2 linked regions of the Mus musculus genome follow. The protein of the gene in region 2 interacts with the protein of the main gene of each other region in a pairwise test. Links are inferred from orthologs where the notes say so. Each region holds a gene or a part of one and is shown on either strand. Other genes may lie near its edges.

Region 1 (7,686 bases), on a different chromosome or scaffold from region 2:
CTAAGACTGAGAACAGCGGGGCTGAGAGATGGCTCAGTGGTTAAGAGCACTGACTCCTCTTCTGAAGATCCCGAGTTCAAATCCCAGCAACTACATGGTGGCTCATAACCATCTGTAATGAGATCTGACGCCCTCTTTTGGTGTGTCTGAAGGCAGCTATAGTGTACTCACATATAACAATAAATAAATCTTAAAAAAAAAAAGCGAAGAAAAAAAAAAAAGACTGAGAACACTGCATGCACTTTCCCTCTGCATCCACCAGAGATCCTTTATGATCCCTCGTAATTTTGAAAAATAAGTTGTTCATATGAGAGCAATCTGGACTATGTCTCCAAACTTACTACTGTAGATTGCACACCTGAAGCAGGTCTGAGGAGGAGAAGCTGGCTTCCATACAGAAGGGCGAGTCTGAGTAGGAGAAGTCTTGAGAGGGACCATTGACATTTATTGTTTCCGACTCTGACATACTTTCTAAAATTTCATGCAAGTATCCACTTCAAAATGTACAGGAACCAAAGATGAAGGCAATAACTTTCCTTTTTTGTTTTGCACTGCCAGGGATGATGACCAAAACGTGTGAAGAGTCCGTATTTCTAACCGCTAAGTGACAGAAGGCCTCTTTAAAACAAGCAAGCAAAAGAGAAAGACAATCTTTTAGTGTCAATCCATGTGTGCAAAGACTTTCCCTACTTTCCCTTTTCACAGTAAGAAGGCTAAGGAAGGGGCTGAAGAGATGGCTCGGAGGTTAAGAACACTGGCTGCTCTTTCAGAGGACCAGGGTTCAATTCCCAGCACCCAGATTGTAGTTCACAACAATTTATAACTCCAGTCCTGGGAGATATGACACCTTTTCTGGTCTTCTTGGGAACCGAATACATGTGTTATGCAGGCACACACATAAGAACTTCTTGAAAAATAAAGTTCACTACTCTAGATTTTAAAATGCCATTTTCCAACTTGGTATCACAGCAAATAGTGACTTGGCCAAAGTCAAGCCAATGTGTGTAGCTTCTATCTAATAATGTTCTGCAAAGCAAAGAAGTTCTACTATTTCCAAACTACTATCAGAAACTTTTTAGTTTTCACAAAATTTCTATTTATTGCTATTTCAACACACTAAGTCAAATCCAACATTGTACAGGTTTTCCTACCCCATACCTGTTGGGTTTAAATTTGTTTTGTTTTTAAGAGAGGGTCTTTCTCTGTAGCCTGGGCTGCCGTAAGTTCATGGCAATTCTCCTGCCTCAGCCTTCTGATTGCTGGAACTATGAGCTGCCCCCATGATATTCAGCCTCAGTTTCTGCTTTCATTTTGGTCTACCTTCATGACGTTAGACAAAAGTTGGAAACCTAGAGGCATGGTAGAAGTCCTAAATTATCTCCCATAGCTACTGTTATCCAACTCTGTCTGTTTTTCCCTTGTGTATTTGTCCATAATCCACGTGTTCATTCTAGCTCCTGTCCTCACTACTGATCTGTGTTTTGTTGTTGTTGTTTTTAAATATTATGTCTATGAGTACACTGTAGCTGTCTTCAGACACTCCAGAAGAGGGCGTCAGATCCCATTACAGATGGCTGTGAACCACCATGTGGTTGCTGGGAATTGAACTTAGGACCTCTGACAGAGCAGTCAATGCTCTTAAGCACTGAGCCATCTCTCCAGTCCTGATTTGTATTCTTATATTTTTGGTTGTGCACCTAGCTTTTAATGGCTGAGCTATCTATCGCTCCAGCCCCCTGATCTGTATTCTTATACACATCCATCAGGAGATAGGATATGTAGGTGTAGCCATAAAATCCAAATTCTTCTGTTTGTCCATGAGGCATTCAAACCCTACATCCACATCATTTACCCAGTACTACTCCGTACAAAGGGATGCTTTCTAACATCCCAGCCGTCTGACTGAGCCTGTGCCTCTCCTCGAACCTTCCAGAGTTGGCTTCCTGTTGCTATAACAAACAAACATAACCAAAACCAACTTGGAAGGGTTGTGGCTTCTACTTCTGGTTCACAGTTTATCACTGAGGGAACGCGGCAGAAACTCAAGTAGAACTGGAAAAGACCACTGCTTATTGGTTTGCTCATCTACCTTTTTAAAAACAACCCAGGCCCATCAACCCAGGAATGGCCCAGACCACAGTGGGCTGGACCCTCCAGCAACAATACATGATTAAGAAATTGCCCCACAGAAATGCCCACAGGGCAGTTTGATGGAGAGCCCCCAGATCGAGCTTTCCTTTCCCCATGTGACTCAAATAGTGTATGAAGCTGGCAAAAGCCAGCGCACCAACTGTCTAGCTTTACAGTCTCTGTGATGGTATATTTGCGTTGCTCTCTCATAAGTCACCACTGTCTACTGTTCAGTCTTAAGCTGCAAGGGTGTCACTAACTTTCCATATCCACATTGTAATTGTCCAGCAAGGAGTCTAGAGTTTCTCAATACTTCCTGCACACACACCAGTCCTGTTCCATGCCAGCTCTCTTCTTTCTTGGGCCTAATTTTCCTATTAGATGTAATTATGTATGTGCATGTATTTGTATGTCTGTGCATGTCTGTGCTTGTGATTCAAGGAGTCCTGGGAAGCCAGTGGTGTCCCCAGTGGTGTCCGAGCTGGAGTTACAGGAAGAGGGGGGTCACCTGACCTGAGCACTGGGAACCAGACTCCAGTCCTTTGTCTGAGCAGTATGCACTTTCCCAGCTGCACCCACATCTCTAGCCCCTGATTTTCCTATTTACAGTCTTCTCTTTTTACATCTAGTGGGATAGATTAGTTCATGGCTTTTAAAACTTTTCCTACTCACTATGTAAAGTTTACATGCACATAAAGTAGAATTACAAACAAAACACTTACTGATAATAAATTATACAGAAATTTATTTTAAAATTCTTTTGATATACATATAATTTTACTACCTGTTAAATAGGAAAGCAAATTTACATACTAATTAGATGTGTTTATCTGACATAATACCATCCAAAGATATACTATTTTAATATTTATCTGCTGAGAAATGGAACCAGGAAAACATTAGGTCTGCTTTCTGTAATGAAACGATTATTTCTGTAAGACCAGAAAACTGCAATGTACAGTAAAAAAAACTCTGCAGTTCATAATGAGAAGTCCAAAGCCTTGGGAATAAAATTTTCATTTCCTGGGAGGCACACTGGGTTCCCCAGGAGTTGCTGACAATGGGCCTTCAGTCAGATGGCCCTGACTTAGGGAGGCTAAGTCTGGAACTGCTGGAGGCCACCTAGCTGGAGGAGATAACAAGGCCAGAACAGAGCTGGTTTCCAAAATTCTTTGGTCTCAGCAATTACAATGAAACTAGGTTAACAACCAATCAGAATTGTACTAATGTTACTGCGTTGCCCCCCTATTGGAGGTTACCTAATCCTTCTGGAAAATTCTCTTAGCCCTCCATTAAAGGGGTCCATGAGCCCCTCAGGTGGTTGCCGTTTTGATAAATGGTTGGCCCCTGAATGCTGGTAATTTCTTCAGTAAACACTCTTCTTGCCTGTGCATCCTATTTGAGTCTGGGGTCTTCCTTCAGCTATTCTTGGACCCTAACAGGAACATATAAGTTTCAAATCTGAACAGAGGTATTTCAGGCAGTTTGCTGCTGTGAGTTGGTATAGTGGTGAGAACAGTGAAAGCTGTGTGAAGTTATCATGGGTGAATATTGCCCGAAATTTGTCAGATTCACCCCACCGTTTAAATTATGAATCAAGTTTTGGGTGTGGAGAATTTATCATGACTCTCCCCACCCCATTATGGGGCCATGATCTTTAGTTAAGAAACTCTGGTCTACACAGTTAAAACACAGGCTGAAAATACCCCCCATTCTAGTGGCATATTATCAGATTGTCTCAGTCTATCCTTAGTACCTGTCTGCCTGGATGACTTTGTTAGATTACTTATTTACTGAAGACGTTTTCAAATCGATGTCATCATTTGGTAAACTGTAAAAAACCAAGTAGGCTAAGGAAGCTAGGCAGGGCTGCTGGAGGACTCAACCTTGGGCTCACCTTTCCCGTCCTGCAAATAAACACTACCTGTTCGATGACAGGGATGTGTTAGTGCCTTAAATCACTTTCCAAACGCAAAATGTTTCTTTTCCATGGGCCTGTGACTTGCAACTACACTTTAAAAAATGTATGTGCCTGTTTAGTATACCCGTGCCATGTGTGTGTAGGATCCTCTGGAACCGGAATTATAGTAGTTGTGACTGGCCCAACCAGGTGCTGAACCAAGCCACCACCACCCAGGCTTGGTTAGCCATTCTACCTAAATCCATTGTTTGTTTGTTTGTTTTTTTTTTTCTTTTCTTTTTCTTCTTCTTCGAGGAAACAGGGTCTCTCTGTGTAGCCCCTCCTGTCAACAGGTTGGCCTCAAACTCAAGAGATCCGCCTGCCTCTGCCTCCCAAGGGATGGGATTAAAGGCGTGTGCCACCACCGCTCGGCTTGAGTTAAAACCGTTTGAAGATAATGAGGGCTTGTGAGATGGCTGAACAGGAAAAAGCGCGGACGACCAGAGTTCGGTTCCCGGAGCCCAAGGTGGAAGGAGTAAGCCCTCAAGTTATTCTCTGAACTTCACTCACGGAGCACGCATACACAAGCGCGCGCTAGATAATACTTAACATTTTAACATTTAATAAAGGCAGAAAGAGGTGTCACAAGAGTTCCTGCCAAACGCAAAAAAAAACCTTGAACTTCCCAACTTAAAAAAAAAAAAACAACAAAAACCAACCACTTGTATCATTGCATCTCAAAACAACGCACCAACGTTTCTAGAGAGCAAAAGTGTGCTCACTTCCATGATCCATCGAGCTTCTGTGACTCAGGCTAAGGATTCCGGGTTTCCTCCCGGCACACCGGCTCCGCGGGAGGGAGAACACCTTCCAACCGTCCCCACCGAGGGCACCAACTGGTGCGTCGCAGGGCGCTCGAACGCCCCAGTGTGACGTCCTCCGGACCGCACCTGGGTCCAGAGGAAGAAGGTCAGAGGACGCAAGTCTTCAGGAGCAGCCGGAGGAAAAAAAAAACAGGCTGACTTCCTATGACCGTAAACGCCATGGTGGAGCAAGAACGAAAGGCTGGGGAGCAACAAGAGCTACACATCCCACGCTACAAACAACGCACCACGCCCACTTCACATCGCGGATTGGTCTTTCCCGGCCACCGTCACGCGCATGCTCCCTGAGGGCACTAGGGTTTGGAGAGGCCCTGCTGGTGGCATACTTCCGGCGTTGCACTTCCGGCCTGTTGGTGGCCGCGTTTGCCGAAACCCTGTATCCTGACACCCCGGTGGCGCCTGGTCGTTGCCTTCTTGGGCCTGGCGGTTGCCGAGGGATTTGAGGGGCGGGAATCGCGGAGACGCGTTTGGATCCTCTAGGTGGGAAGCAGGCTCTTCCGATCGCGGCCTCAGGGGCGCCGAAGGCTCACACCCCTAGCCATGGACTGCAGTCTGGACAGGATGGCTTCGGTGGTCCCCGGGCAATTTGACGACGCGGATTCCTCAGACAGGTAGGCGGCCGGTGGTGACACAGGGACTCCTCCGATTCCGCCAGCTCCACATTGGGCTCGGGGAGCTGACAGCTGACGGCTTTGGATTTTTCTCGGGGTGAGCAGCTTGTGAAAGCTACCTACCTGTCAGTGGGTCCCGGGACGTTTAGCAGAGAAGCAAGAGTTGGGGACCACTGAGGAAGGTGGGCCTTTTTTTTTTCCTTTCTTTTCTTCATACAGGCTTCCATACACAGTGAGCAAAAGTTTTACCTCTGCGAGTATGATGAACAAGACAAATCAAGTCACTACTGTCTTTTTGGAAAGGAGGGCAAACCAAGAGGCTAGCACCTACAGCGTAGCGGAGAGAATTGAGGCAAAAAAGGGAGGCCAGCCAGGTCGAGCCTTCCAAGTGACTGTGAGGAGTTAAGATCCTGTTCAGGTCTTACAGGCCAGAGGAGGGCTTTTGCAGCGACAGAGCATCCGTCATTTGATTTATGAATTAAAGGAACTGGTGAGTCATGTAGAAGATGTTCGTAGAGAGGAGTGGAGCAGAGAATCAGTAAATAAATAAATAACCAGCTTCAAACCGGATGGCTCCTAGAGCTGCTGTCGTAGAACGACTTCGAGGTAGCAGTGTTGAGGTTTTGTGGTGAAATTGGATGTGAGGTCCAAAAGCAAGCAGTGACGGAAAACTTCCCGTTCAAAAGAAAAGAGAATTTACACATAGCCATTTTGAAACAACAAAGAGTTTTGCGTACCTTATAGTCAGGAAGATTTTATTCATCAATTGTGAGCGGTTGTGATAAGTATATATATTGACCACTCTGTGTGTCAGATCGAGTGGTAGGGAAATATTGGTGACTACCGTTTTGATTGCCACAGGGGTTGGCCTCTGCTAGGGGAGATAGATATTCACACGAGGTAAATTATTTGAATTAAAATTGGTGAATAGTACAAAGGAAAAAAATGAGTGATCAATAACATATGGTAAATAGAGGGTAAGTAGGGCTTAGCCGGAGATGTTGGAGATTTCCAGCCTTCCACTGAGGAATGGGCACATCATCTCAGAGAAATCCTTACGGAAGCGTTTAAGTGGGAAGAAGGGACAAGCTTACTTTGCCCACAGGCCCCATACACGCAGGATATTGTGAGACTGCACCCATGGTCCTCTGCTGGATCTGATTTTGCCATTGCACCAATCCAGAGACATTTTTATATGTCACACCTGGGCTGAGACACTAGTGGTATCTGGTAGGTAGTTCCGCATAAGACAACCTCACAGCAGAGGATTGACTAGTTGAGAGCATTCACATAGTTGTGCCTTTAACATACCTGTCTAGATTATTAGATTTGTAAGTGAAGAGTAATTTATGTATGATACTTATGAAGCCCTAGTAAACTGCAGCTATCAAATGATAGTCTCCTTCCTACTCATGCCCGTGGGCATTTAAAGCCCTGTGGGCTGTAGCCAATTAATAAATTGGAGTTGACGACTGAACTTATTTAAGACCCATTGGGGGCCAGGTGTGGTGGTACAGCGTCTTTAATCCCAGCACTCTAGAAGCAGAAGCATCTGATATTGATGATTTCAAGGTCAGCTCTAGCTTCATAGTGTCTTCAGGGCAGCCAGACCCAACAGGGAGCTCTGTCTCAAACAAGACTAAACAACAAAGGGGAAGGGGGTGGGAGAGGCGGGGCGGCCTGAGGTGCTGGGGATTAGGTCTGTGGCAGAGTGATTACCTAGAGAGGGAAAGGCTCTGGGTCCTCAGAACTAGAAGAAAAAAAAATGGCTCTTTTTATGGTCAGGTGAGGTACACACATCTTTAATCTTAGCACCTGGGACACAGAGGCAGGAAAGGTCAAAGCTAGCAACACTGAATTGAATTTTATTGAATTTGGTGGTAAATATGTTTTGTTTGGAATGTACAATGTTTTAAAAAAAATTGAACCTGGCAATTATGTGAAAAAAATTACATAAATATTGAGTGTTTTAGCTTCTTGAAAAACTAGGAAGATCAGTAACAACAGGGTCTGCATCTTTTGTGAACCTCTCCTCCCTTTGGCTGTACTTTTGTCTCTCTAGACCACTTCTCTTGATAGTCCCCCCTTGTTGTCCTATACTTGGCCCACTTCACTGTGTAGTCTTGGGCCTCTCCATCACTGCTTCCTTTTATAAATAAAG
Region 2 (5,758 bases):
ATGCCAAGCAGATATCTCCATGTCTGAGTTCACAGAGCACGCTGCTTCCTGAAGACATTGATGTTAGTCCATGAGGAAGCCAGGACTTGGGCTGGCTCGGAAGCATCTATGGCCATTGCGATGTCCTGGGCTTCCAATTTGATGTTGTCACTAAGCCACATTGAAAGGTACTTCAGTAGGCTCTTACATGAGGAACAGACAATGTCTCAGGCCCTCTGGCTTTTTGTTATCTTTTAGGCATTAAATTTTTTGGTTCATAGGCAGAGTTAACAGAAAGGACATCTTGATGGACCCAGATAGAACTGGCTTAGAACCTTCCATTTTTCCTAAGGAAACCGACTCTGTTGGCAGTGGTGCTGATTTTTTTTATAACCTGGGGCTTATGAGTGCTTAGAATTTGAGGATGAAAATAAAATATGAAACCTGTTCATCAGATTGCCTGATAATGAAATGGAAAGCGCTGGATTGATAGCCACCATTCTTGAATGATGCCTTGCTATGTTATGCCAAGAGAAAAGGCTTTAGACAGTCCTTACGGAAGTCCCAGAAACAGTTCATGTGGAGTGTGGCCTGGTTGCAGAAATTTCTGTGGATGGTCAGTCCAATGCTCTAGATATAGCAGAATGGGCCATTTCCTAAGAGTACACACTGGAAGGCAAATTTAGCAAGTGTTTCACTTAATCTGTTGGTGCTCAAATGTGGTTTCCAGGGCTGTGTACACACCCATGTCCTCAGGACCATCCCTCCATCCCTGGAGATCTTCCTTTGCCTTGTAGAGATGTCTGAGCTCACGTCATGGTTAACAGCCAGGTGAAATGTCTTTTCAGTACTTTGCATCTCTGTCCATCCCCTAGGAAAGGGCACCAAGGCAACAATCTTCACACCAAGTCAGCAGATTAAGGGAGGATTGTGAGCTTCTCTCAGGACCTCATCCATCTCAGCTCCCACAGTCACAGACTCTTCTCGTCTGGAAGCCCACGCACCCGTTGCACAGTGTCAGATCAGAAACGGACAAGCCTAAGAGACGCAGCTAAAATGGACAGAGATAATTATGAGAATTTGTGCTGTCGTTTGAAGAAGACTGTTCCAGCTGGTGCTGAAATCAAGAATTCCTTCCAGGAATAGCATCAGAAGAATCACAATAGTTAGACCGAACGGAAATGCAATGCAGTGGGCACAGACTTAGCACAGATTTAAGATCTTGTTGCAATTCGGGGTGCGGGGATGTTCACTTGTAAACCCCCACAGTTAAAAAGTGGAGACAGGTGGGTCAAGAGTTCAAGGTCCTCCTCTGTTACACAGAGTTCTAGGTCAGCCTGGGTTATCTGAGACACTGTTTCAGAAAATGGAAACAACAATAAAATAAAACACAAAATAACCTTCTATAAACAAGCAAAGGCCCTACAAACAACAATAGCAAGGTGCTTTTCCTCAATGGTTATTCTCAACCTGAGGGTCACAACCACTACAAGGGTCAACTATCAGACATCCTGAACATCCTATATTTACATTATGATTCATAACAGTGGTGACATAACAGTTATGAAGTAACAACAAGATCATTATATGGTTAGAGGTTATTACAACATGAGGAACTGTATTAAAGGGTTGCAGCATTAGGAAGGTTGAGAACCACTGATCTAGACAAAATGAAAGAGGTATATACAATTTCCCCAGCCTACCACTGGCCCCAGCTTCTCATTGGAAAAAAAAAAACATGTCAGTGGACTCATTCAAACAGAAATGAAACCATGGGGTGGGGGTGACCACTGCACGTCATGAGGATAAATGAGAATGTTTTAGTGAGAGGGTGTCTGTCCTCTGAGGCGCCCTCTGCTCACTACCACTGTCACATCCCAAACAGCAGTCACAGCCTTGTCAGTCTTTCTGTCCCCATACATTACAGTGGCCAAAGATGGAAGCTGCACCTTCTGCAATCTAAGACGAGACAAACCAGATCCCCAGTGTGCTGCAGGGAGAACCTCTTGTCAATGGACCTGACAGCCTGGGATTGGTAGGCCATAAACAGTTATTGAAAAATTAGAAAAACAAACCCACTATTCTAATTGTTCAGAAGGGGATTACTCAAATCGCATGTAAATAAACCATCTTAGCCCCAGGACAAACCTACCCCGCCCTCCCCCAGGCAGCCCAACCACGCAGCACCGATTTAAAAATCTTGCAATTTTATTTGCATATAAAGGCCGCTAGATATAGAGTATCACAATAAATTTAAAGAAAACAACTGCTTTCCTAAATTTGAAGGTAACATAAAATAGAATAGCGCTCAATGGCATCGACAATGGGAGACCAGAAAGGATTATTAGCAACAATATTTTGTGCTAGCGAAGATTGCATCAACACACAGTGCAAAATGGGAGGGGGAGGGGAGTGAGAAGACAAAACAGGGCCTTTAAATAGAAAGGACGACTAAGCCTTATTTAGTTCGCTTCCGATGCATCCACTGGAGTCTATACACACTGGTTACTGTACCTAGACTGGACTCAAGTTCTTTAAGACCTTGAGTTTGAAGAAAGAATGGGTCAGTTCCTTCAGACGTCTGGTGTGCTGCTACCGATGTGGCTTTGCAGTTGTACTGTCCTTGGCAAGATTAAACTCCCAACTGAGTCGTAATGCACAAAAAATAGTTATATATATATATATATAAATCCACATGGAAAGGGAGTCTGCACACTTTCTTTTTCCTTGCATGACCATCTCTTGACAGATTCTTGTTTCCTTATTTTTAAAGCTCAAATAATTTAAAAGAAACAAACAGTGAGAGTTGGTAGCATCATGATATGGATCTCTGGCTAAGCCTCTGCATGAGGGCTGTTCTTCCCCCACCTCAGACACAGTCTTCTTTATAGCCAGAGAGAAGCTAAGGTTTTTCCTAACCAACTTCTGTTGAGATTGCTCTAAATTGGGGCCACATTTGTAAAATAAAAATGAGGCAATACCAAGAAAACAACAACAAAACATTGAAAATTAAAACATATCAAACAATACTCAGAGTTGTGCAAATCTGGGTGATTTTTCAAAACACTGCTTTTGTGTTTCTTTCTGTCTTTTTTTTTTTTTTAATCTTTTCCTTTCAGCTTAAAGCATATTCAAATAAGACTTTTTAAAATAATCATTTTTTTTTTAAAGAAAGCTTGGCTGTCCTTTGGCAAATACTAACAATTTACAATGGCGTGGCCTTTGAGCAAACAGAAGTCATTTTACAAATTCACAATGTTCCTTTGATTTCAAATGGATACCCCACTCAAAAAAGCAAAAAAGAGGCGGCACAACGCTAGCATCTTTTTTTTTTTCTTTTTTCTTTTCCCTCCTGTTCCAACAATTTACAAAAAGAACTCACAGGATTTAGAAATAAACAAATCAGAGAATGTGAGTTTATAATTAGAAAAATGGCAGTTTGTAGACCGTCCCTCACATTCCAACGGGATGCTGAGTGCTTTAGGAGCCCTGTGGGTTTGGAAGGTCAAATATGATTGGAGGGTTGGTCGGTTGAAAGCTGACTGTACAGGTTGAGGCATTGATGTAGGTGGTGTAACCGTCGGTCATGATGCCGTACCCTGTAGGAAGACAGTGTCACAGTTACTGCAGTATACACAAATGGTGGAGGCAGTTGAGCACAGGGCCACGGGCAGGGAGAACAAGGACATCTTTGTCAGAGGGCAGGGGGATGAAATTCAGTGGGCCTTTCCAGATACCACAGATTTCAGGAGCTCCTGGCCAACTTTGCTGTTTGCTTTAAAAGGGGGAGAATTCTCCCCTCCAACAAAGAGTGATTCTTCCCTGTGTCCTCTTTGCTTAAACACTGAACTCATCAGGCAAAAGACATGATAGCTGTATCACTGAGAATAAAGGAAAGTATTCCCCTACCTTTCAAGTATCAACTTCATTGCAAACTCCTGCATTAACTATTAAGTCGCAGGAAGGAAGTGGGCAGCCTAAGAGCACACAACCTGGCTCCAGGAGAGAGATGAAAGAGCTGAGGTTCTTCCTCATTCCTACAGCGATCTGTCTCCATGACAACTAACCACACATCACTGATTCTACCTGAGTTATGTGACTTTAACGCTAAGTCCCCCTCACTCAGAAGCATTGCCTCTTCAACTGCGGGAGGTAGAGACATCTCCACAGGACCCCGTTTCCTGACCATACCCAGACAGAGCAGAGAGGAAAGCACCCCAACATGAAAGCTGAGACAATGTCATGGCATCCCTGGCATGTAGACTTTCTTTATAGTTTTTAGCATGTTGACATTTTTGGGCTTTTTGGAAGTTTGCACGTTTCCGGGGACACCTTACAGCTTATGCAATGAGTCGATAATTCTATGTCCACACTGGACTCCGTGGTATATAAAAACAGCAAAGGAGAAATAAAATGACTGGGACTTGCAGAAATTACTGATGAGGTTCTTATCCCTCCACCCTCCTCCTGCTCCATTTGCTAAAATTTTTCCAAGTAAGCCCGAGGAGAGCTTAATGAGGGTCAATGGAAAAATCTCTTAAGAAAAGAAAAGCTGCATTTAAAATGTGCACTGTTTGGTTCCGGGGTCATAAAGTCTTGTTATCTCTCTCCATCAAGAGGCTGGTATTTGCCCTCTCTCTGCCCTCTTTAGCTGTCTTAAGTGAATAAAAGCAAGTCACGTTTATTTGAATATGATCACTTCCCTTTAAAGCAAGTTTATTATTGTGGGGCTTCAGTGGAATTCTCCAATTGTCTGGCCAGTTTAAGGTAAATTAATGACTTAGCCCCCCTCTCCCCCCTTTTAAAGGGTGAAATTCAAACTCAAAGGAATCCTACAGGAATTCAAACTAGTGTTCAAGATAACAGCCCCACCCCTATCATGTCCTCCAGGAAATACAGTTTATATAGGCTGTCCCATCTCTCTGTTCTTCCCTCTCTTAAAGAATACTCACTCACCCCTGCTTAGGGAGCAGAGGAGACTCAGCCCCACCCGCTAGCTCCAATGCCTCCCCTCTGCCTCCTGCCAGAGCTGCACCCCTGCTTTCCCACCAGTTAGCTGGTGCCTGTATTTGGAGTAAGTTGATTTTTCTCTGGCCTCTGAGGATAATTTCTCAATATGCTCTTTATGACTCGCCTAACTAGGAAGCCACCGTGCTTGTGGACTCTGTGGAGTAGACTTGGCGTTCCGTTTCACCAAGCACACAGCCCCCACACACCTCAACTTGACTCTGACATTTATAAGTAACCCCAGAAAGCCACAGTGAGCAGCAGTGGGAATCATGGCAGCTGCCTACATAAGCACTTCTGCCTCGTACAAATATACACACCCCGGCCAGTCTTGTAATTTCTGAGACCCCAAGATCAGCTGACACTGCTTGTCTACAAAAGCCCAGTGACATCCTGGTTTGAAAAGGCAGAGCAGACAAAAACCCAGAGCCTTGAAGGTTCCGTGAATCTTTTGGGTTCTGGGGTCTTGACTCAACTTACCTTGAAAGACAGAAACCAACCAGTGAACATTTTCTGTTAGAGATTTCATTGTTTCAAATAACCTCAGCCACAGGGCTCCTACTTGCCTTTCTACTTAAAAGGCAACAATACAAAATATTTCTTAGCCTCATAGGCGTGAGCTTTTCTCATGAGGTTTCGTCTCATAAACGAGTTCCTTTTGACTAAAGCTCGAGGATCACTGTGTTCTCACCGTGCTATGTCCAGCCCAGGCTGCCTGCTGGAGAGGGTGAGGCCATGGAAAATGCACGTAGTCCATCCCTGTGTTCTTACC

Evidence for each region.
Region 1: the proteins of Mpped2 (region 2) and Cage1 interact in binary tests that used the Homo sapiens proteins (3 or more experiments, as listed by UniProt). The two-hybrid records come from large-scale screens. The link is inferred for Mus musculus from reciprocal best matches to the Homo sapiens genes MPPED2 and CAGE1.

The regions. Positions count from the first base shown.
Region 1 is NC_000079.6:38,032,007-38,039,692, forward strand, and holds the start of Cage1 (cancer-associated gene 1 protein homolog), read right to left. Parts: upstream 4,932-7,686; 5' UTR 4,819-4,931; coding exon of another isoform or gene 4,813-4,818; exon of another isoform or gene 4,782-4,812; intron 619-4,781; 5' UTR 467-618; coding exon 359-466; intron 74-358; exon of another isoform or gene 1-73. Other genes in the region: Riok1 (serine/threonine-protein kinase RIO1), read left to right, coding at 5,455-5,525.
Region 2 is NC_000068.7:106,864,768-106,870,525, reverse strand, and holds the end of Mpped2 (metallophosphoesterase MPPED2), read right to left. Parts: coding exon 5,758-5,758; intron 3,579-5,757; coding exon 3,460-3,578; 3' UTR 2,166-3,459; downstream 1-2,165. UniProt on the Homo sapiens protein: Displays low metallophosphoesterase activity (in vitro). May play a role in the development of the nervous system.